2 linked regions of the Pelodiscus sinensis genome follow. The protein of the gene in region 1 interacts with the protein of each later gene in a biochemical or structural test. Links are inferred from orthologs where the notes say so. Each region holds a gene or a part of one and is shown on either strand. Other genes may lie near its edges.

Region 1 (10,585 bases):
TGAGCTAGCCCTGGCGCTTTAGAGAAAAACTGGTGCCAAAGCAGTTGTAGGAGCACTAGAAAACATTAGCACCAGGCACTAAAATGCTGAGATAAAAGTGCTTTGTAATAGGGGATACTCACCTCTTGAAAACTTCCTAGAGGCTGGGTGCAGACCAGTTCTTTTCTCTCCCCAATCACCCGCTCTAGGCTGCCAGACAAACTTGGCGAGTCCTCCATGGCTTGGTTCTCTGACCTGTCATGAAGTCCACACAAACCCGTTACAGGGTATTAAAAAGTCCTGTCATCCTCCCTCAGCCCTACAACAGCTCCATCTCTGTGCTGTTCATTAGCCCTGTTCTCTTCTTGGGATTTATGCCACCATGGCCGGTAGGGAAACGCAGGTCCATCCTTTACACAGCAGCTGTGCTTGCTTCAATTTCAGTTTATTGCTTCTTCTCTGGGCCTCTTCCTGCCTGGCCCCTTTTAGCTTCACACTTAGCTCAGGGTTAAGGTCCTTAAATCCTTTCTCTCCCTGCAGACCCAGTTTAATCAAAAGTAGTCAGAAACAAACTCTGGCTATTCCTTGAGTTCCTTTAGCTAGAGGAGGAGTGGGTGGGGGAGCAAGGTGGGACCTCTCTGTTCCCAGCCTGGAACTGACCAGAGTCCCTGCAGTGTCTTTTATCTGAGCTGGCTGGATGCTGATTGGTTTCTTGGCACAAAGCCTCTCTATGCAGGCTCAAACCTTTCCTGTTTCTTTCCTGTCTCTGCTGGAACCTGGGGTGGGGTGCCATAGGATTGTGGGGCTCTGGTAGGGAGCCACAAAGGCCACACGCACCTTGCCACATGCAAATATGTCAGGTAACAATTATTAAAGCATGAAGGCACCAGCACAATGAAGAAGGCAGAGAGGCACTGGACAAGCGGATGCATATGTTCCATGGCTGTAAGCCAAAGCTCTGGATGAACAGGCTGAAGGCAAGGGCCTCAGGAAATGTACTGTTTCTAAATGCCAGAGCCACAGCTCCTGTGATGGGGAAGTGCCTTACCAGATGACTGGAATGTGCCAAGTGCAGCTCCCAGACTCAGGGTGTAGCTGGCCATGGACATTTGGGGGCCAGCAGTAGGTTCCAGGGCAAAGGAGCAGAGCTTGGGAGGGGCAGAGAGAAACACACTGAACTGGTGGTGCCAGTCCTTGTGGGGCACAGACACAGTGAACTGGGCAGAGAGCCTGGACCCTTGGGGTACGTCTAGACTACATGCCTCTGTCGGCAGAGGCATGTAAAATAGGCTACCCGACATAGTCAGTGAAGTGGGGATTTAAATATCCCCGGCTTCATTAAAATAAAAATGGCCACCATGCAGTGCTGGATCAGCTGATTGTCAGCACAGCAGGGCAGTCAAGACGTGGGGACGGAAGCTGCTTCATTGACTATGTCGGGTAGCCTATTCTACATGCCTCGGCTGACAGAGGCATGTAGTCTGGACATACCCTTGTTGGCTGTGTCTAGACCGGCAAGTTTTTCTGCAAAAGCAGCTGCTTTTGCAGAAAAACTTGCCAGCTGTCTACACTGGCCGCTTGAATTTCCGCAAAAGCACTGACTTCCTACTGTCTGAAATCAGTGCTTCTTGAGGAAATACTATGCTGCTCCCGTTCGGGCAAAAGGGCCAGTGTAGACAGCTCAGATTTGTTTTGCGCAAAACAGCCCCGATTGCGAAAATGGAAAAGCGTCCGTGCCAATCTAGACGCTCTTTTCCGTTAAAAGCATTTGCGGAAAATCATGCCAGTCTAGACGTAGCCGTTGAGTGCTGAAGGAGAGATTGTATACACTGAACTGGAACTAAACCCAGAAGGATGATGGATGTGCACAATATGCTGGTGGCACCTTCGTTCTTAAGGGGGGGCCACATAAAATTGAGCAGGCCCCAGTCCCTATGGCACATAGTGGGGAGATATGAGTGGGCCTAGTTTCTGGGCTGGCACAGTGTTCTGGGGTCTGGCTGTCTGGGAGCACACAGAGCTGGGGACTGGTCTCTGTTCAGGACACACTGAGGTTGGCAGGGGAGGAGTCTGGTAGGAGTGCCTGTTCTGTTCATTCCTTCTGGGGCATCTGACACTGGCTACTGTCAGAAGACAGGATACAGCCACTCTCTGAGTTACGAACAAGTTACGGATCAACACTTGGTCCGTAACTCGAGCTGTTCGTAACTCGGACCCCATTGAGTTACACGTGATCGCGCTGTTCATAAGCGCGGATCGCGTTCGTATCTCGGGGACCACCTTTACGACCGCTCCATGGGAGCTTTGGTCGTAAGTGCGAACGGTCGTAACTCAACCGTTTACAACTCGGGGAGCGGCTGTACTGTGCAAAATGGGCCGCTATAGCTATTTTTACCTTTTCTTTAAGGAACATTCTTTAAGTCCCTTATTTCATTAATTTGTCATACACAAGGGAAGGCCGAATCTCATCTGTACAGAGCAGTATTAAGTCGTGTAAATGTTGATTGAAGCTTGTTTTCAGGGTAGAATTCAGACTGAAGAAACATGGAATTTTAACAAAAACTAATTCCAAAGCTAAAAATAAAAATTCAAAATTGTGCTGAATTGTGCGCCTAAAATAAAAATCATGGATGTTGCTTCATATTTGAGACGCTGCGTTAAAACATATTAATATTCAGATGTTTTTCCACCTCATCCCTTTGGTTTTTGCACTTGTAACACAAGTAAGGAAATGCTAGGAAAAATTTAGAAAACTTCTGGAAAGGTACATTCATGACTAAGTACCAAAAGCCTAACCACATGGCTCTTCTATTATGTTTCATTGAAACAAGTACTGTGTACAGGGGAAAGGATGGGGCTTTGAAACACGGTACCCTAATCATTCTCCTTCCAATTTTTTAAAATGTGTGGAATTTATTACTTTTATTCCTACCTCAATTGCAGCAGTGGAAAGAACATTTTACTTGTTATCCAGGTATAGAAAAACTGCAGAAACCCGCTAAATATTGACACTGTTAAAGCTGAACTTCAAATTAACATTAATTTCAGTTGGACTGTTAAAGAGCTTTATGAATTAACAAACAAACCCCAAAGATGTGCTGAAATGTTTTAAAACAGGCAAGTACTATTTTAAACAAACTTATGACGACTGCACTGTATGTCTGAGGACAGTTGAAATGTACACATGCCATACCTACTTTGCTATAGGGAAAGGTGTTTCCCTAAAACATCCCTTAAAATAAAGGGTTGTCCCTTATCTATCATGTGGTTTTTCCTTATTTCCATCCCACAAGAGATGGTCACCCTATGGGCTGGTCCTTATTGGGGAAGGACTACTTAGCAGTGGGGACTGACAGGCACATGGAGATGGGGGACGGGTCCCTGTTGGGGGCATATGACACTGAGGTCCTGGGGGTATCCCACGAGGGCATGGAAGGAGGGAGGGGGGGAAAGGAGCTGGTGTCATAGGGTTGTACAGTGGGGAGAACTTAGAGAGCAGGGAGTAGAGTCATGGTGGGGCACAAGGAGCCCGGGTCTGTCCTAGTGGACACACAACATCGCAGGGGTATGTCTGAAAAGGTAGAGGGGGACCATGCAGGGAGGGGCACAGAGATGAAGGGTGGCGCAAGGAACCAGTGGAGTCTGTTCTAGCTTTGTTGGGGGCACACGGAGCTGGGGCGGAGGGGCTGTCTCAGGCTGCACAGAGCAGCGCAGGAACAGGGAAGTATAGGTGGACAAATGGAACAGAATAGGTGCCGTCCAGGAGGCAGGCGGGGGGCAAACAGAGTAGGGGGGGACCTGCCCAGGAGCTGTACTGGGTAGGAGGCTCTGTCAGGAGCCAGATGGAGTGGGGGGCTGTCCAGGAGAGCACACGGGGTGGGGGGCTCTCACGGAGAGAACAGGGTGGAGGGCTCCGCAGATGGGGGCACACGGGCGGGGGGCTCTGACAGGGGAGGGGCACACAGGTGTGGAGGCTCAGATACGGGCACACGGGGCGGGGGGGCTGCCCAGGGTGGGAGGCTCTGAAAGGGAGCACAGGGGGCAGTGGGCACATGGGTTGCGGGTCACACGTGGGAGGGCTGCGGGGGGGGGGGGCTGTCAGGGGGCACATGGGGCGGAGGGGCTGCCGGGGGGGGGGCTCTGACAAGGGGCACGCAGGCGGGGGGCTCTGACGAGAGCGCTGCGTGGGGGCACACGGGGCGGGGAGGGTCGGCGGGGGGGGCACACGGGGCGGGGTGCTGCGCGGGGGGGGCTCAGACGAGAGGGCTGTGCGGAGGGGTCCGCGGGGGGGCTGCGCGAGGCACACGGGGGGGGCACACGGGGGCGGTTGCGGGGGGGCACACGGGGCGGGGGGGCGGGCTGCGGGGGGGCACACGGAGGGGTTGCGGGGGGGCGCACGGGGCGGGGGGCTCTGACGGGGGGGCGCACGGGGGGGTTGCGGGGGGGCACACGGGGCGGGGGGCTCTGACGGGGGGGCGCACGGGGGGGTTGCGGGGGGGCGCACGGGGCGGGGGGCTCTGACGGGGGGGCGCACGGGGGGGTTGCGGGGGGGCACACGGGGCGGGGGGCTCTGACGGGGGGGCGCACGGGGGGGTTGCGGGGGGGCACACGGGGCGGGGGGCTCTGACGGGGGGGCGCACGGGGGGGTTGCGGGGGGGCACACGGGGCGGGGGGCTCTGACGGGGGGGCGCACGGGGGGGTTGCGGGGGGCACACGGGGCGGGGGGCTCTGACGGGGGGGCGCACGGGGGGGTTGCGGGGGGCACACGGGGCGGGGGGCTCTGACGGGGGGGCGCACGGGGGGGTTGCGGGGGGCACACGGGGCGGGGGGCTCTGACGGGGGGGCGCACGGGGGGGTTGCGGGGGGGCACACGGGGCGGGGGGCTCTGACGGGGGGGCGCACGGGGGGGTTGCGGGGGGGCACACGGGGCGGGGGGCTCTGACGGGGGGGCGCACGGGGGGGTTGCGGGGGGCACACGGGGCGGGGGGCTCTGACGGGGGGGCGCACGGGGGGGTTGCGGGGGGCACACGGGGCGGGGGGCTCTGACGGGGGGGCGCACGGGGGGGTTGCGGGGGGCACACGGGGCGGGGGGCTCTGACGGGGGGGCGCACGGGGGGGTTGCGGGGGGGCACACGGGGCGGGGGGCTCTGACGGGGGGGCGCACGGGGGGGTTGCGGGGGGCACACGGGGCGGGGGGCTCTGACGGGGGGGCGCACGGGGGGGTTGCGGGGGGCACACGGGGCGGGGGGGCTCTGACGGGGGGCGCACGGGGGGGTTGCGGGGGGCACACGGGGCGGGGGGGCTCTGACGGGGGGGCACGCGGGGGGGTTGCGGGGGGCACACGGGGCGGGGGGCTCTGACGGGGGGGCGCACGGGGGGGTTGCGGGGGGCACACGGGGCGGGGGGCTCTGACGGGGGGGCGCACGGGGGGGTTGCGGGGGGGCACACGGGGCGGGGGGCTCTGACGGGGGGGTTGCGGGGGGGTTGCGGGGGGCACACGGGGCGGGGGGGCTCTGACGGGGGGGCGCACGAGGGGGTTGCGGGGGGCACACGGGGCGGGGGGGCTCTGACGGGGGGCGCACGGGGGGGTTGCGGGGGGCACACGGGGCGGGGGGGCTCTGACGGGGGGGCACGCGGGGGGGGTTGCGGGGGGCACACGGGGCGGGGGGGCTCTGACGGGGGGGGGGCTGGGAGCCGCGCAGGTCCGGGGGGGGGGGGACGCTCGCGCGGCCGGCGGCGCAGGGGGCGGGGCGGGCGGGGCGCTGCGTCTGTGCGCGCGGCCCGGCTCCGGCTCCGGCTCGTTGCTGAGCGGCGGGGCGGTGAGTGCGGGGCCGCGGCCTGTGTCGGCGCCGGGCGGCCCGGCCCGGTTCGGCTCGGCGCTGGGCGGGGGCGGCGGGGCTAGTGGGGGAGGGGCGGCAGTCACAGTTGGCGGTTGTGGGGGGAGGGGCGGGGGTCGGTGGAATGGTCCCGGGGGGGGAGGGGTGGCAGAAGTGGGTCGGTGCAATGGTCCCGTGGGGGGGGGAGCGGGGTCCCGGGCCCGCCCCCCCCCCCCCCCCCCGTGCAGCGCCCTGCCCCTCTTGTGCACGGTAGCAGGTGGCTGCTTTGCCCCCGCGCGTTGCCCTGGTTCCCGTGGGGGGGCCTGGCTGCAGGGGGGGGGCCGGGGGGGGGGGCTGTCTCTTTGTTGGGCTGGCATCACCAGAGAGGGGCTCTGCTCCTCACCAGCCAGGGTTCCCAAGCTGTGGCAGGGTTTCCTCTCCTCTTGCAATATCTCCCCTGCAGGGCCGCTTGGCACAACTTGATTTTCATTGTTTTAAAAATAATTCTGACAAATATCAGTTTTATTTGAAACTGTGTTTTCAGTCTGTCAGTGTTCACAGAGATGGAAAATAAGGGGGGCTGGTCAGACAAGAATAGAATGACAGTCAGCGCTGAGATTAAACAAGTTAAATAGTCATTAAAACACAAATTGTCAACATCATGCCAGAATATACAAAATACACGTCCTTAAGTCAAACTCTAATAAGTTTTTCTGACTTGGCATAGCTGTATGTTTTTATTATTATCAATGAAAATATCTTTTTGGTTTTCATCACCATTTATTGATAAACTAGATTATTTTTCTCCAAATTTACTTGTATTTTATTGTAAGCTTTTCAGGAAAAAGAGGTTTGAGTTGCTGGAGAATGTAGCAGTTTGAAGTGAATGAGATCTGTAACAAAATTCCAAATGACTGCTTTTGAAAAATGCCTTTTTGTTCTTCTGGGATATTTGACCTCCAAAGACAGCTGCTTAGGAAGTCTGGCAATATTTTTGTCTCTTCTGAAAATCTGCATTTTAAGCCTCATAATTTTTGTCAGAAATAACTGAAATGTTTGCAGTTTTTCTGTTGCCCTCCTCTAGTTTCTCTTTTTTATGAGTACTTTAGTGTCAGATTTGACTCTTCAAGCTTCAGATTTTTTTTTCACATTTTTTAATGCCATGGTTTTATCAATGCAAAGTGCAAGAGCCCGTTAAATGGTCTCTGTTAATAAGCTGCAAATGTGAATCCCATGAGCCTTCTTTCTTCTCAATTATAGTACCATAGTTGGGTTTATACTGTTTTGTTGAATTTCAGTGTTATATAGAGGGAGCCTTGCAAAATTATTATAAACATTTTTCCAGCCCTGGTAGCATATCTGCTCACTTTGCCTGACTCTAATGATGTAAACACAAACAATGTTTTACCCACCTATGTAAAGAAATTAGTTGCTCTAGGGTAAGTTCTGCAACTTCTTGTATTGCAACTTAGTTTTATTTAAAGGTTTGGAGATGACTATTGGTAAAGGCCTGTGATGAATTCACTGAAAAACTAGTTTAATTTTCAGAATTGCAGGCAAATTCATTCTTCTTTGGATTAATCAGAGGCGTAAAACATTGTTTTGTAGCATGTTTTATTTTGTTTGCATAAATTGGTGCACTGTCAAATATTGAGTTAATTTAGAATTAAATCAGATTGTTACCTGAAGGGAGATAGGGTCACATTTAGCTAAGAGTACTAATTAAAAGTGAGTTCAGTGACTTTTCAGACCCTTCATATTGTACATTCCGTAATGAAGAATATATAATAACAAAGGCATAGCTGATGAAATTCAAATAGGCCTATGCTTCTGTTTTGACCTCAGTCCATGGAGGCAGCCATCTTAAATTATTTTTCTTGTATATGAATCCAGTGGCACTTTTCAATGTTTCTATCAAGTAAGTTCTAATGTCGTGGTGTCCAACATGCTAGCTGCTAGCCACATGTGGCTATTTGCCCCGTTGAGTGTGGCTAGGACACCACAGTTCTCATGTATAGAGCAATACACTTTCCCTCTATGTGTATGTGTGTGAAACTGTTTTCTTCACAAGCACAGTCCTGTACTAGTAGAGTGAACTTATTGCTACTCTTTGCTAGTGCTGGATTTTAATTGTACACTTCTTAGTTTGATGTCCATTCTCATTTCTTGTACGCTAATCAGTGAGATCTGATTCACATGTGTAGGGAGTGGGTGATTAGGGAACATACCTGTGGTAGTGGATGAAATGTCCAGGCATTGAGTTTGGCTTTTGGAGAAGGTCTCTGAAAAGTATCAGACAAGAATGAGATCTGATGACCATAGATTGTATTTGATACACATTCACATACACAAAAACTCAATAACTGACTCTGTCGCCCAAATGGAGCTTTCTGAGTGTCCTGGTTCTCCCACTAAATGTATTGGAGTTTTTGTTTCTGTCTTTGCAATTGGGTACTGTAGAATGATTGACTCCCATTTCTGAGCAAGTTTTTTTTATTGGTTAAATTTAATTTAACCTTGAAATATCAATTTATATCTGAACTGCGGGGAGTAGAGTGGAGGAATGGACAACGGAGATCTGAAATGTTGGAAATGTGAATCTTTCGGAATAAGATTATAGACTTTAAAAAGACTATAGAAAAAACTGCAGCATTTTATTTGGTAAACGTGACTCCTGTGTGCACTGAAAACCATATTACCTTGTTTCTTATTGACTACAGGTTGCATCTCTCAAATCTGGGATTCTCTCTTCTGTGGTCTCAACATCTGTGGGCTAGAGATGTTAAATTTCAATTAATCAACTAATTGAGTCGTCGATGGAATTTCCATTGACGACTCAATTAGTCAATAAGGGGGATGCTGGCTATCCCACTGCGCCTGTCCCTTTGAAATGTACGAGAGCTGCCTATGGCTCTTGTACATTACATCAGAGAGGTACAGTAGTTGGGATGCCTGTGCCTCCCTTGTCCCCCATGGAGATGGTGCTGGAGGAACTGGTTTTTAAGCCAGCTCCCCCCAGCCCCGGCTCCTACTCCCCCTCCTTGTTGCCTCTCTCTGACAGAGGCAGCAAAGGGGGGAAGCAACTAGACGAGTGACTACTTGTCAACCTGACTAGTTGCTTACATCCCTACCATGATCCAGCATGTCTATGGATGTTCCTGAATGAGAGACCTGGGTGGGGCAGGAGGGCCTGCAGCTGGGAGCCCGTGCAATCCAGCAAGTCTGCTAGCAGCGGGGTCCCAGCAGCCTGGGATACTCTGCTGCGTGGCAGTGGGGCTGAGACCGCAGCAGCCCAAGAGGGGAAGCCTAGTCTGGGAGGTGGCAGGGCCGCAGCAGCCCGGGCGGCAGTGGCAGCAGCAGCAGCAGTGTGATTGGGGCTGCCTGCTGCCCGTCAGTGGAACCAGAGCTGTGGCTGCAGCAGCCCAGGAGGGCGAGCCAGCCTGGCAGAATCGGCATGGCCTGGGCCACGTGCTGCAGCGTTGGGGTTGTGGCAGCCCAGTAGGGCAACATGCCGTTCCGGCAGTGGGGCTAGAGCTGCCCGACTGGCCCACAGACAGACCAGCCAGGCTCAAGGAGCCGGCATTGGGCTGAGTGGCTGGTATCAGGGAACCTCCTGTTTGGCAAATTCGCTCTTCTAGGACCTGTCAGGTCCCAGGAGTGCTGGATAAGAGAGGTCCAACCTATAGTAAGATTTTATTCCTGTTAGCCCTGTAGAACCAATTCAGCAATGGGAGGATGAGCAGGATTCACTTCTGGCTTGTGCATCACCACTGATAGCATTGCTAGTTAGGTTTCTGATGTTAGAATCTTCATTGTGATGATTCATGAGTCAGAAGCCCAGCATGGTTTTCAGATTCCAGGTAAGTTTTCAGGTTTGGCAATTTAGGGCGGCAGGGGAATCTGATTTTGTACACTGAGCAAATTTGAACTGGAGTTGCGGAGAGACCAAATGGTAAACCTCAAAATGCCATTTTTAGATCACTTTCCATAGTAGAGAATTAGTCTACAAAAAGGGAGAAAAGAATTTTCCAGGGGAAAACAGTTTTATCAAACATGCTGATTTTCGGGAGTTTACGGTTTTGAAGCTTTGTAGAAATGTTTTAAGCAGCGTGTTAATGTTAGAAGCATTTGGGATTGTAGTTCTTCCTAGGGATGTATGTGAGCAGTTGATTGCTCGCACTCCCGCTCCCCCCTTGCAGCCCCAGTATCAGGCGACTCCCCAGCACTGTCTCTGCGGTCCCGCCTGCCCCCTTCCCTCAGAGGCTGCAGCGCAGGGTGGTTGATGGGCAGGAGAGGCTGCTGTGAAGCAGCCTTTGTCCACGGGGGTTCCCAGCGAGGAGCTGGGATCCCCTATGGACAGGGGCTGCTGCAATGAAGCAGACCATGTCTACGGCAGCCTGGGCTGGCCATGAACACAGGCTGCTCTGACAGCAGCCTCTGTCTGTGGGGGTGGGGTCCCAGCTCCCCATCGGGAGCCCCCGCGTACAGGGGCTGACTTGCATTGGGTCCGGGACCTGTCCCTGCTTCAGCTCTGCATTTTAAATGCAGTTGCTCTTACTACATTTAAAATGCAGAACTGTAGTGGGGGTAGCTCCCGGGCCGGTGTGAGCCGGGACTGAGTGCCTTATTGACTAACAGTGTAGTCCAGTGGTTCTCAAACTTTTTGGGCTCCTGAGCCCTTTACATGTGTAAAAATTTATGCGGAGCCCAACCGGTCTACTGATTGTATGTGTTGTACCTATCGATGTTTCCAGTTTGTCAGCTTTGTGGGGCCCCTGGAGATGTCTCGC
Region 2 (10,562 bases), on another chromosome or scaffold:
TCACCAGGCCTGCAGCCCTGAAGTGCATCGCTCTGCCTTAGCCGCCTCCCCACTCAGCACACTCCTGGGCTGGGGTCAAAGTCCCCTGGGCCAGCCAGGCCCTTAAGCAGAGCAGGGTTCGTCTGCCGTGCGAGCGGTGGAGGCTTCCTCAGCTCGGCTGCACCTTCCTTCCTGCCCACACTGCCTGCCTTCCGCCCACGTTTAACATACCTCCCAGGTCAGGCTGGGCCCACCAGGCTGAGCAGGGGCCGGCCCCCAGGGCAGGGGAAAGCAGGCCCACGGCCTTTTCATTAGACATGGGGAGAATGGGATTTTATGGGCTAAGACCTCCAGGAGCAGCACCAACCTCTGCACCAGGCAACCTGCCCCACAGCATGCTTCCTGCCCCCGCCCCAAGGCTCTCGGTGGCGGTGAGTCTGCCAGGCCTCCCTGGCGTCCCAGGGCTTGCGGGCACAGCCCTGGCGGTACAGCCTGCCCCCAGCCGAGCCTGGCCCGATGGAATGGGGCAGGATAAATGCAGAGCATGCCATTCCCACAGCACTCTCCCCTCTGGATGGGGGCACAGCCCTCCAGGGCTCCTGGCAGCCACCGCAGTGGTGGGACGGGATCTTCCCTAGGCGCCGCAGGCTCTTGGGTACAGCCAAGGAGCAGAATAGCTCTGGGACGAGGTAGCCCATGTGCCTGGGTAACACACCCGACACCTCCCCCCTCCCCGAGCTGCTTAGGACAGCAGCAGTTGTTCCCAAAATCCCAGCTCCTGGGATGGCCCTCCAGCCTGGGCAGCCTAGGGGAGGGGGCACCTGCTAGCGCCGTGGGGGGCTGCTGCAGCACCTGGAAATAGGCTTCATCTCATGCATCAAGCACCAACCCCTCTCCCCACTCCTGCGCCCCCCATAATAGCAGGCAGGGGTCTGGTCCAGTAGCTGTTTATTGTGCCACAGGGCGGCCCCTCTGTCAGTGCACGCAGGTCACTGCTTGCCATTGCCGTTGATGGGCCGGTCGCGGTGGGCGGTCGACTGCAGGTAGGTGTGTAGGTGGGGCCGGGCAGCCACCCGCTCCGCGTAAGCCGCCAGCAGAGGGAAGGAGGCCAGGCAGCCGGGTGCCAGGACCAGGTGGTTCCGCAGCAGCTCCACCAGGTTATAGTCTGCAAAAGAGATCTGGGGGGAAAGGGATGGGGTCAGCGCATGGCCACGCCCCTGCATGTGGAAGGGCGGGGTCGGCACAGCCACACCCCCAGGCAGCTTGGCCACACCCCCATTGTGTGGGGCCCAGGGACAATGAGACCCTGGCCAGCTGGGCTAGGAGAAGACTGACAAAGAAACACCCCAGCTGATTTGGGGGGCAGGAGTGGGGAGATACCCCCTCCCCACAACACACTCACCTCATCTCCAACCCCCTCCCCACAACACACTCACCTCATCTCCAACCCCCTCCCCACAACACACTCACCTCATCTCCGACCCCCTCCCCACAACACACTCACCTCATCTCCAACCCCCTCCCCACAACACACTCACCTTATCTCCGACGATGAAGGCCTGGCCAGAGCGGTTCTGGGACAGCAGGTTCTCAAAGGGGCGCAGCTGGGCTGGCAGGGCTTCCACGTACGCTGTCTTACCCTTCTCCTGGGGGAGGCAGGGGGTCAGGGTCTAGCTGCTCCCCCAGACACCCCCCCACTACAACAGGGCCCACCCACACCACAATGGGGCCTGCCCCCATGCTGGTCCCACACCCCCACTGAGCCCCAAGTCACCCCTGCCCGCACTGCAATGGGGCCCACTCCGGCCTCCGAGCAGAGGCGCCACTCCTGCCCCACCCTGACTGGGCCTACCCCCCAGTGCTGGAGCTGCCCCATTCCCTGCCCCCACTCTGCGGGGGTGCGCCCCCTCTGGCCTCCTGCCCGATGCAGATTCTGCCCTGGCTCACATAGTTCTGGTAGATGAGCTGGGCGTATTTGAGGCGCAGATCTTCCACCCCATCGTTCACCATGTCCAGCTGCGCCGCCTCCTGCTGGTCCTTCCCATACAGCCCTGCCAGAGCGAGAACCGCCATCAGTGGGGGGAGGGGGGCTTCCCCCAGCCCTCTCCCCACACACCCAGCCCTGCCTCCTGCTGGTCCTGTCCCTATAGCCCTGCCCGAGCAAGAGCCGCCATCAGCAAGGGGCCCTCCCTCAGCCGCCTCCCCCCACACTCAGGAGACCTGCCCCCCCAACATTCTGCCCCCCACACCCTCAGGAGACCTGCCCCCCCAACATTCTGCCCCCCCATACTCGCCCCCTACGCCCAGCCCAGCCCCCCCAAACTCCTTCCCGCACAGCCCTGCCAAAGGAGAGCCCCCACCAGTGCAAGAAGCCCCCCTCCCCAGCTGCCAGTGCCTGGCCCCTCACAGCCCTACCGAAGCTCCTGGCCAGGTGCCGCAGGATGGCGTTGGACTGGTACAGGGTTACGTTTCCATCCTGAAACTTGGGCAGCTGCCCGAACAGCTGTAGGGAACAGGAAATCTGAGGTGAGGGGTCACTAGTCCTGGATGGGGCCAGCAGGGCAGGGTGAGCCCATGGGACCCGCTCCCCGAGGGACCCGCTCCCCGAGGGGCATGGGGCAGAGCAGCCTCTCAGTGGGGCAACAGGAAGACAGACCAGAAAGCAATAGGGGGAGAGGACTCTGAACCAGTGCCCCCACCCCCTGCTAGGACCCCCTCCTCCCTCTCCATGGGTCATGCCTCCCATCTCCCCTAGGGGTGCCCCCTTCTCAACCACGGGAACAGGTCTCCAGTCTCCCCTGAGATGCCCCCTACCAGTCATGGTGCCATCTCCCTGCTCCTCCAGTTGGGTCTCCCTTCCCCACTGGGTCTCCCCTCCGCACTGGGTCCCCCCTCCCGGCTCCTCCAGCTGGGTCCCCCCTCCCCACTGGGTCACTCCCCCCACTCCTCCAGCTGGGGTCCCTCCTCCCCTCAGGGCCCCTCCAGCACCGAGGCTTGGGCAGGTTTCACTCACACAGGATTTCTTGAGCTCTCCCTTCTGCCACAGCTCCATGGTCACCACATCCTCCTTCCACTCCTGCTCCTGGTCGGCCAGCAGCATTCGTATGGCCTCGCAGCGCCCTGCACACGGCAGGGGCAGGTCCTCATTTGTGGCCCCCCAGGGCACAGACAGATCCCCCCCCCCACACACACATTGAAGCACCCCTGGGCATGGACAGACACCCCCCCACACACACACACCCTGCAGGGCTCCTGGCAAACGGCTCACACACACCCTGAAGCGCCCCTGGGCACGGACAAGCTCCCGCACACACACCCTGCGGCGCCCCATGGCCCCACCCAGACCCCAGGGCATGGACACATCCCTCTGCAACTCCCACAGGGCACGCACAGACCTGCCCCTACCCCATGCACACACCCTGCAGCTCCCCACAGCCCCCTCCAGCCCCCAGGGCACAGGCACCCCCATCCTCCTTACCACCCAGCCCCTCCCCCCTGCTCCCCACCCTCTTATCACTCAGGACTGCCCCCCAACACCCCCACTGCACCCAGGGCACCCACCGAGCTAAAGGGGAGCCCAGAGCTGGGACAACAGGGGGCTGCAGAACGGGGGGGGCAGGGCTAGGACAACGGGGGGCTGCAGGGCGGGGGGGGGCCGGGCTAGGACAACGGGGGGCTGCAGGGCGGGGGGGGGCCGGGCTAGGACAACGGGGGGCTGCAGGGCGGGGGGGGCAGGGCTAGGACAACGGGGGGGCTGCAGGGCGGGGGGGCAGGGCTAGGACAACGGGGGGGCTGCAGGGCGGGGGGCAGGGCTAGGACAACGGGGGGGCTGCAGGAGGCCCGGGCAGCGCTGGGGGGCAGGCGCCGCACCCCGGGCTGGGCAGCCCGCTGGCCGGGGTCCCGCCGTCACTCACCGCGCACGGGGAAGTAGGTGATGGTGAAGGGCCCAGGCACTGCGGAGAGAAAAGGAGGCGCCGGGTTAGCGAGCCGGGCGGGGGGGGGGATTGGGGGCGCGGGGGGGGACACTCACTCTCTGCAGCCGGATCCCGCTCGCTGGCGAAGTGCTGAGTCACCCGCCCCCGGGGCTTTAAAAGCTCCGAGACGGGCGCCGCCCCCTCCCCGCCCCCAGCCCTGGGGCCGGGCTTAGCCGCTTCCCGGGACCCAGGGAGCGGGCCGCGTCCCAGCGCCGGGCAGCTCCCTGCCCTGCCTCAGCCCAGCCCCACTGGGACCCCCTGCCCCTGGGGGGCCGCCTGGGGGGGCAGGTCTTGGCACTCGTCCCTGGGGGGCGGCTGTGGGGCCAGGCTACTTGCTCCTTGGGGTGCGTATGCAGGGGTTCACTTCCCTAGTCTGTAGAAACAACCCGAGGAGGCCTGCGGCACCTGGAAGACTCACAATGTACTTGGGCACAAGCTTTCATGGGCAGAAACCCACTTCGTCAGATGCCCGTCCCAGCCCACTCTGGCCATAGCCGGGGGAGATTCACCCCCACCCTCCCAGCTCCAACCCAGTCGTGGCCTGGATCGGCCCAAGGATGCACAGCAGAAGGGGAAGCATCACTCACTGACTCGCTCCCAGGGGCTGTGGTGACCTCCACACATACCTAGTTCACCCCTGGGCTCTGTGACTCCATACCTGTCCCAGCTGAGACAGGTAAGCTGATGCCCAGATACAGCCATGAGTCTCTCAGGTGCCATAGGACTCCCTCCTTGTTTAAAAGGATTTGATTTGTATTACTCTTAGCACATCATCCTGTAACTCCGTTAGCACCGGGCGGCTGCCGTCACTGCGTGTTTCTAATACGGGAGTCGCTGAAAACGACCCTACTGCTGAGAACTCCGGGAGTCGCTGAAAACGACCCTACTGCTGAGAACTCCGGGAGTCGCTGAAAACGACCCTACTGCTGAGAACTCTGGGAACCCCATGTTTGTATCGCAGCAATCAGCTTGCATTCCACATTTCCCTTCTGTTTTTCCTCCAGGTTTTTAATACACAAGCTTATTCTTCTGGAGAGCATATGACACCAGGCTGACTGATTTCCTGGCTCCTGCCCAAACTTCTTCCGTTCCCCTTGATCCAACCAGGGGGCTTGCTTCTCTCTCCATCACCCTCCTTGTGTGTAGAAGTCGGTTCCCAAATATTCAGCACAGGCCAGGTTTGTAAAGGTTGAAAGCACTGTGATGCTTTTGAAAATGGCAAGAGTTGCCTAAATACCTTTAGGAACTGTATTACCTTGTATGCAAGTGTTCTCAAAAGCAATTTCAACTGTGATTTTTACTAAATAGAGGGATACAAGCCCAGGAGATATTGACAGCTGCAAGCATTCAAAAATAATGCCATACACCCCAAAGGCATGAGATTTAAATGAATAAGGTCATTCTGTGTTCTTTTAATTTGCCGTTTTCTTTATAAGTAGAGCCCGGCAAATCTGTGGGTATGCGCATCCGTGGATGTGGATATCCAGGGATCGTTTTTTGCAGACGCAGATATCCGTGCAGAGCTCTATTCGGTTAACTACATAGCCATTCACATCCCTAATACCTAAATGTGGATCTTCTACTGAATTGTTATATTTCTAGACCCAGGCGATGAGTGAGGGTAGGGCACGAGGAGGCACATGGCCCAAACGCCATGGGTGGGAGGGACAAAGGGCTGGCCAGTAGCCGGTGGGGGGACTAGCAAAGGGGGGGGGTGTCTGGTGCCCACAGCTGGGTTTCCCCCCTCATACTCAGTAGCAGCAGTAGGGCAAGTGTCTCACTCTGGTCCCCCGGCCACGTCGCTTGGGGGAGAGGCAGGACCAACCTGCATTCACCTGTGAGAAACGGAGCAACACAGCTGAGAGCGTGAAACAAACTGGAGCTGTGTTGCTCTGTGTGCCCTGTCATTGCCAGTGAGTGTGGGGGGGACACACCCCTGCTGTTGCTACGGACGCCCAGCCCTGCAAGTTCCCTCAGCTAGGGATGTAATAGCATCGTCCATTAACCGAGAAGCAAAAGCTTACAGGTTACTGCTATAGACTACATATATTTCCCTCCCTCACACTTGCCAGTAAATTTTTTAGCAGGCTGACCAGCAGCCCGACTGAGTTCTGGCTCACACCAGGTCTGCAGCTTTGCATTTAAAGTGTATTAGGAGCCAAGCAGGCAGGCAGCCTGGCTCAGTTCTGGCTTGTGCTGGGTCGGAGAGCTCAGATTCCCCTTAGACAGGGATTGTTGCCACGCCACGCTGCTGCCTCTTTATCAGAGGCAGCAGCTCTGGGCGACAGGGCAGCCAATCCACAAGGGGAGCTGGTTTTTAAACTGGTTCCCCTCATGGACCAGCTCCCTTCTTACACCCCGTGCTGCTGCCTCTGATACAGTAGCTGCTGGCCCCGCCCCCGGGAACTATAGAATAGTTGACTAATCGATGAGAATTCATGAGGTTACTCGACTATTCAGTTAACCAATATTTAACATCCCTACCCTCAGCTGCATCGCTCAGGGGAGGAGGAAGAGCTGTGACAGGGATGGAGCAAAGATAGGACTGAGCTGAGGGGAGTTGTTTCTGCCCTTCTTCAGGCTTGGGGGTGGGCACGTGGCCCCCCCAGGTCTCCCTTCACCAATTGCCTTGCTTCTAAGTGTGTGTTTCCCTAGCCTTCTAAGTATGCTACATGTTTTATTGTGATCCATTTCATTCTTCATTCTGACAAGTTCACTGGTTCATTCAGCCAAAATCAAGGGGTTTTTTAAAGAATGAATTACCCTGTTACTCCTTCGCAGTGGCCAGGCGGCAGGAAAGCACGCCTGCTGTGACATGGTCAGTACCCCGTATTCTTCACAGTGCTATTGTGGCAGTATGATTCTGGCATCGTGACGCTGTGTTTTGTACAAGAGACGTTACGGGCGGCGTCATTAGAGAAGTGACGATTTGCCCGATAGGAGCATTCCGTGTGTTGGCCTGGCTCAGGTTTGTGTCAGACGTTCTCAGTGGTGACTATGTGCCTGGGTTTCAGGTGGAGTTTCATGAGGGCAATACCCACTGGGCATGATGCTTTCAGGCTAGGTAGCTGCTTGGGAAGGGCCTATTCCTGGTAATGGGCCATTAGGGGAAAAGCAACAAGCCTTAGGAGGAGCGTATCCACCACCTGAGCCTTTCTCAAGACACTCCAGGCAACCTGTGAGTAAGGGCTGCCGTGACTCAGCAAGGGCCTGTGGCCAGGTCACGTGATCCCAGACTCCACCTTGGGATGTGCCAGTGTTTTTCCACAAACCGAGTTTGGGACACAGGGTTCCCACCATGTGCTAAAGCTGCCTCAGGCAGGGAGGGACATCATGGGGGAGGGGGTTCTTCTTTCCCCTCTGGGAAGTGTCCTGGAGACACCTGAGGAACTAAGACTAAACGGTGGTGGGCGGGGGAGTGCTGGACTCAGGCTAAAGGGATTTCTAGCGTGTGCATGAAATGGGGGCAGTGCACCAAGATCCCCTCCCTCCCCGGGGCCACAGGAACATGAAAGGAATGGCACAGAGCAAGTGGCAGGAAGCTGCCTTAGCCCAACTGAGCTGCTACTGTTGACGGCAGGAGCCCCTGGGCCATTTTAAATCACCCAGGGGTGGCCGGCAAGGCTGTGGGATATGCAGTTGGGATCACATGAGCTGGGGAATGCACTGGAGGGGAACTTCAAGAGCGGGCCTTGGCCTCAAACTTTGGTGGAGCAGGAATATTCCTGCTGCCTGGGCACCATGGGCCCATATAACTCGCCGCCTATATTTTCTGGGTAAACTGGTTTGCTCTGTTTGCTATCCCTTATAATCACTGACATTCTACCTCTTGTAGCTAATAAACTTTGTTTTTGCTTTATCTAAACCGTCAAGTCGGAGTGAAGTGTGTAGGAACCATAGCTCAAGGCGCAAAGGCCCCTCCCACAGTGAAGGAGGGGGTGACCTTTGAGCTTATGCTGCATGGTTCACTGTGCAGCACCAGGCAGTGTTATTTGGGAGTTACACTCGAGGGATTGGAGCCCAGGGGACGGGAGTTGCCTTCACTGGAGCCTTTCTGTTGTTGGTTCCTTGCAGGGGCTGGTCAGACAGCCTGCTTGTACTGCAACTGGGTGTGTCCCTACCCGTGTGTGGGCTAATGAAAGGGCAGGCCTGAGGGTTTTCAGCTTGTCACAGCAGCACAGTGAGAGATGGAGCCCTGGCTGGTGGGTTAGGGGCTCAGTGGTACCCCCATTCTAGGTGGCACCCCAGGGGGCACAGTGGCATATGCGAACAGGGTCACATGTCCAGCTTGTTGCTCAGAGATTTGCACTTCATACAGAATGGCAATTTTAAGTGTCATGGCTCGAGATGAATCCGAGAGATTACCAATCTGTTATTTTCTGTTGGTTTATTTGGGGTCAGGGAGCTAGAGACAGAAAAGCAGGAAGAGGAGGGAAAACAGTGAAACTGTTGTGAAAGTGGAGCTGTGCAGATCGCAGGCAGAGGAAAAAGCAAGCGAACCCCCAAAACCGTTGGAGACAAAAAGAATTTCAGAAAGAAGAAACTGAAGCCCCGAAGGAAGTCACGAAAGCAGCGAATGCAAGGCCGGGAGCACACACCAGTGAGTTTTGGAACCGAGACAGGCAGAGGAAGTCAAAGAAATGGCAATCCAGGAATTAGCCAGGGGGGAGGAAGAAAGAAGAAGAAAGCACCAATGAAGAGGCAGAACCAGATAAAAGATTTGATGGGGAAAAGGATTGCAGGGTTGATGTTGAGTATCAGGCCCGCTGATGGGGGGGGGGGGGCAATTTTCTCTGGGTCTGATGATTCAGAAGAGACCTGGATTTCCAGCAGCAGCGGCAGCTGGTGTCCTGGGCCCTTTAAATCAAGACCAGAGCTCCAGGAGCTGGGCACCCCTGAAGGGCTAGTCCCAGCTCTGCCTCTTCTCCTGAGGCCGTGCCCCTTCCAAGAATACATCCCCCACCCCTCCCACACACACATCTTGCCCAGGGGCCCAGCAATTCTGTGGCCCCCTCTGTTGCGTATCCCACTGAAACCCCAGAGGAAAAGGGTAAAGTCTCAGGTACTGCTGGAGGAAGGGGACAGTGTCTCTTTAATTCCTTTGCCGTGGTGGGAAAGTCTATGCTTCCGGGGTGGGGGTGGTTGAGACCAGTTCCTGCCCCGAGCTTGAAGGCAGCAGAAAGGGAGGGCGTGTTGCCTCACAGGGAGAAAACTGTCCAGGTTGCTGGCTGCCAGCAGGCGGCAGAGGAACAAAGCACAGCCCTCACTCTGGGCAGCGGGTTTCCAACTTTTTTTCTTATGACACCCCCCCCCCCCCCCCGTGAAGAAAATTATTGTTGCCCCGCGACCCAATGTAATTTGACTAGAGTGTGGGCTCTGGGGTGGGAGCTTTGGGGTGTAGGAGGGGCTCTGGTTTTGGGGGGTCAGGGATGAGGCAGGAGGGGCTTATCTTGAGCAGCTCCCGGCCAGCCGTGCAGGGGGGGGTGCTAAGGCAGCTTCCTGCCTCTCCGGCCACCAATGCCCCCGGAAGCAGCCAGCAGCTGGTTCCCAGACTGGGAATGTAGAGCTCGTGCTCCGGGCAGGGGCAGTGCACGGAGCCCTGTGCATTCTGCCCCCTGCAGCTAGGGGCCAGGTCTGTTGTCAGCCACTTCTGGGGCGCAGCACAGTCTGCAGTGCCAGGAGAGGCAGGGAGCTGCCTTAGCCTCCCCCGCTCCCCCCCGCCCACTGGTCACCTGCTCCCCCTGCAGCAATGAGACCCAGCGCCCGGCATTCCGCCGTCCAGTCCTGGGGCACGACCCCTCGTTTGAAAACCACTGCTCAGGGAGATGTGCCCTGCTGGGAAGCCCAGAGGGGCGGGTGGAATCCTGGAGACCGCTGAGGTGGGCGAGGGTTGCGTGGACCCTGTAGCTGGAGGCAAACCCGACTCGTGCCTGCGCGTGAAGGAACGGTCCAGGCTGTTAGCTGCCAGCTCGGCACAGCTGGACGGAGATCGGAGTCCATGAGGGAGGGGGGGTGTCTTGGAGGGGGCCCCAGAGGAGGAAGCCAAAAAGGAATTAGCAGGAACACAGGAATGTTTCCTTGCTGATCGCATTATTGGGGGGGGGTGTCCAGGACAGAAACGCTGGGTCAGTGTCTGTGCTCCCAGGCATCCAACCTGTGGCTCAGGCTTTAAGGAGTTGTCACTTATCTCCTGGAGAGGAGCAGTCACACAACTGAGCTCTTGGGGAGGGGGGGGTGACAGAAGATACCCCAGTCCAGGTCCCACTGTTGCAAAGGGTTGTTCCTGAGGCGCTTGGGGAACCTAACTCTGTCTCTTTAAGACAGGATGAGAACTCTGCTAGGGAACATGCCTGTGGGTGCAAATGCTACTGACCCACTCGAGAAAAGGGAGGAGGGAGCAATTTCCGGGAGGAGGGTGGGTTTAAATACAGCAAGAGGCTAAGACCAGCGGCTGGAAGATCACAGTTCTCTAGGAAAAGGGGGTGGGAAAGGTCTCTGTGCTGGGAGTAGAAACCACAAGGAAGCCCTAAGTGTGGTGGACTTTCTGCTTGGTCGTGTAACCCTGGAGATCAAATGCAGCTGCACAGAGGGCCAGCCACCATGCCAGGT

Evidence for each region. The genes of interacting proteins can lie anywhere in the genome.
Region 2: the proteins of MAPK8 (region 1) and GSTP1 form a complex in vitro, tested with the Homo sapiens proteins (2 studies listed by BioGRID). The link is inferred for Pelodiscus sinensis from reciprocal best matches to the Homo sapiens genes MAPK8 and GSTP1.

What each region holds. Positions count from the first base shown.
Region 1 is NC_134718.1:5,443,747-5,454,331, forward strand, and holds the start of MAPK8 (mitogen-activated protein kinase 8), read left to right. Parts: upstream 1-5,713; 5' UTR 5,714-5,798; intron 5,799-10,585. UniProt on the Homo sapiens protein: Serine/threonine-protein kinase involved in various processes such as cell proliferation, differentiation, migration, transformation and programmed cell death.
Region 2 is NC_134714.1:128,931,303-128,941,864, forward strand, and holds GSTP1 (glutathione S-transferase P), read right to left. Parts: upstream 4,126-10,562; 5' UTR 4,011-4,125; coding exon 4,010-4,010; intron 3,933-4,009; coding exon 3,894-3,932; intron 3,100-3,893; coding exon 2,993-3,099; intron 2,483-2,992; coding exon 2,395-2,482; intron 2,031-2,394; coding exon 1,927-2,030; intron 1,626-1,926; coding exon 1,518-1,625; intron 1,158-1,517; coding exon 969-1,157; 3' UTR 911-968; downstream 1-910. UniProt on the Homo sapiens protein: Conjugation of reduced glutathione to a wide number of exogenous and endogenous hydrophobic electrophiles. Involved in the formation of glutathione conjugates of both prostaglandin A2 (PGA2) and prostaglandin J2 (PGJ2).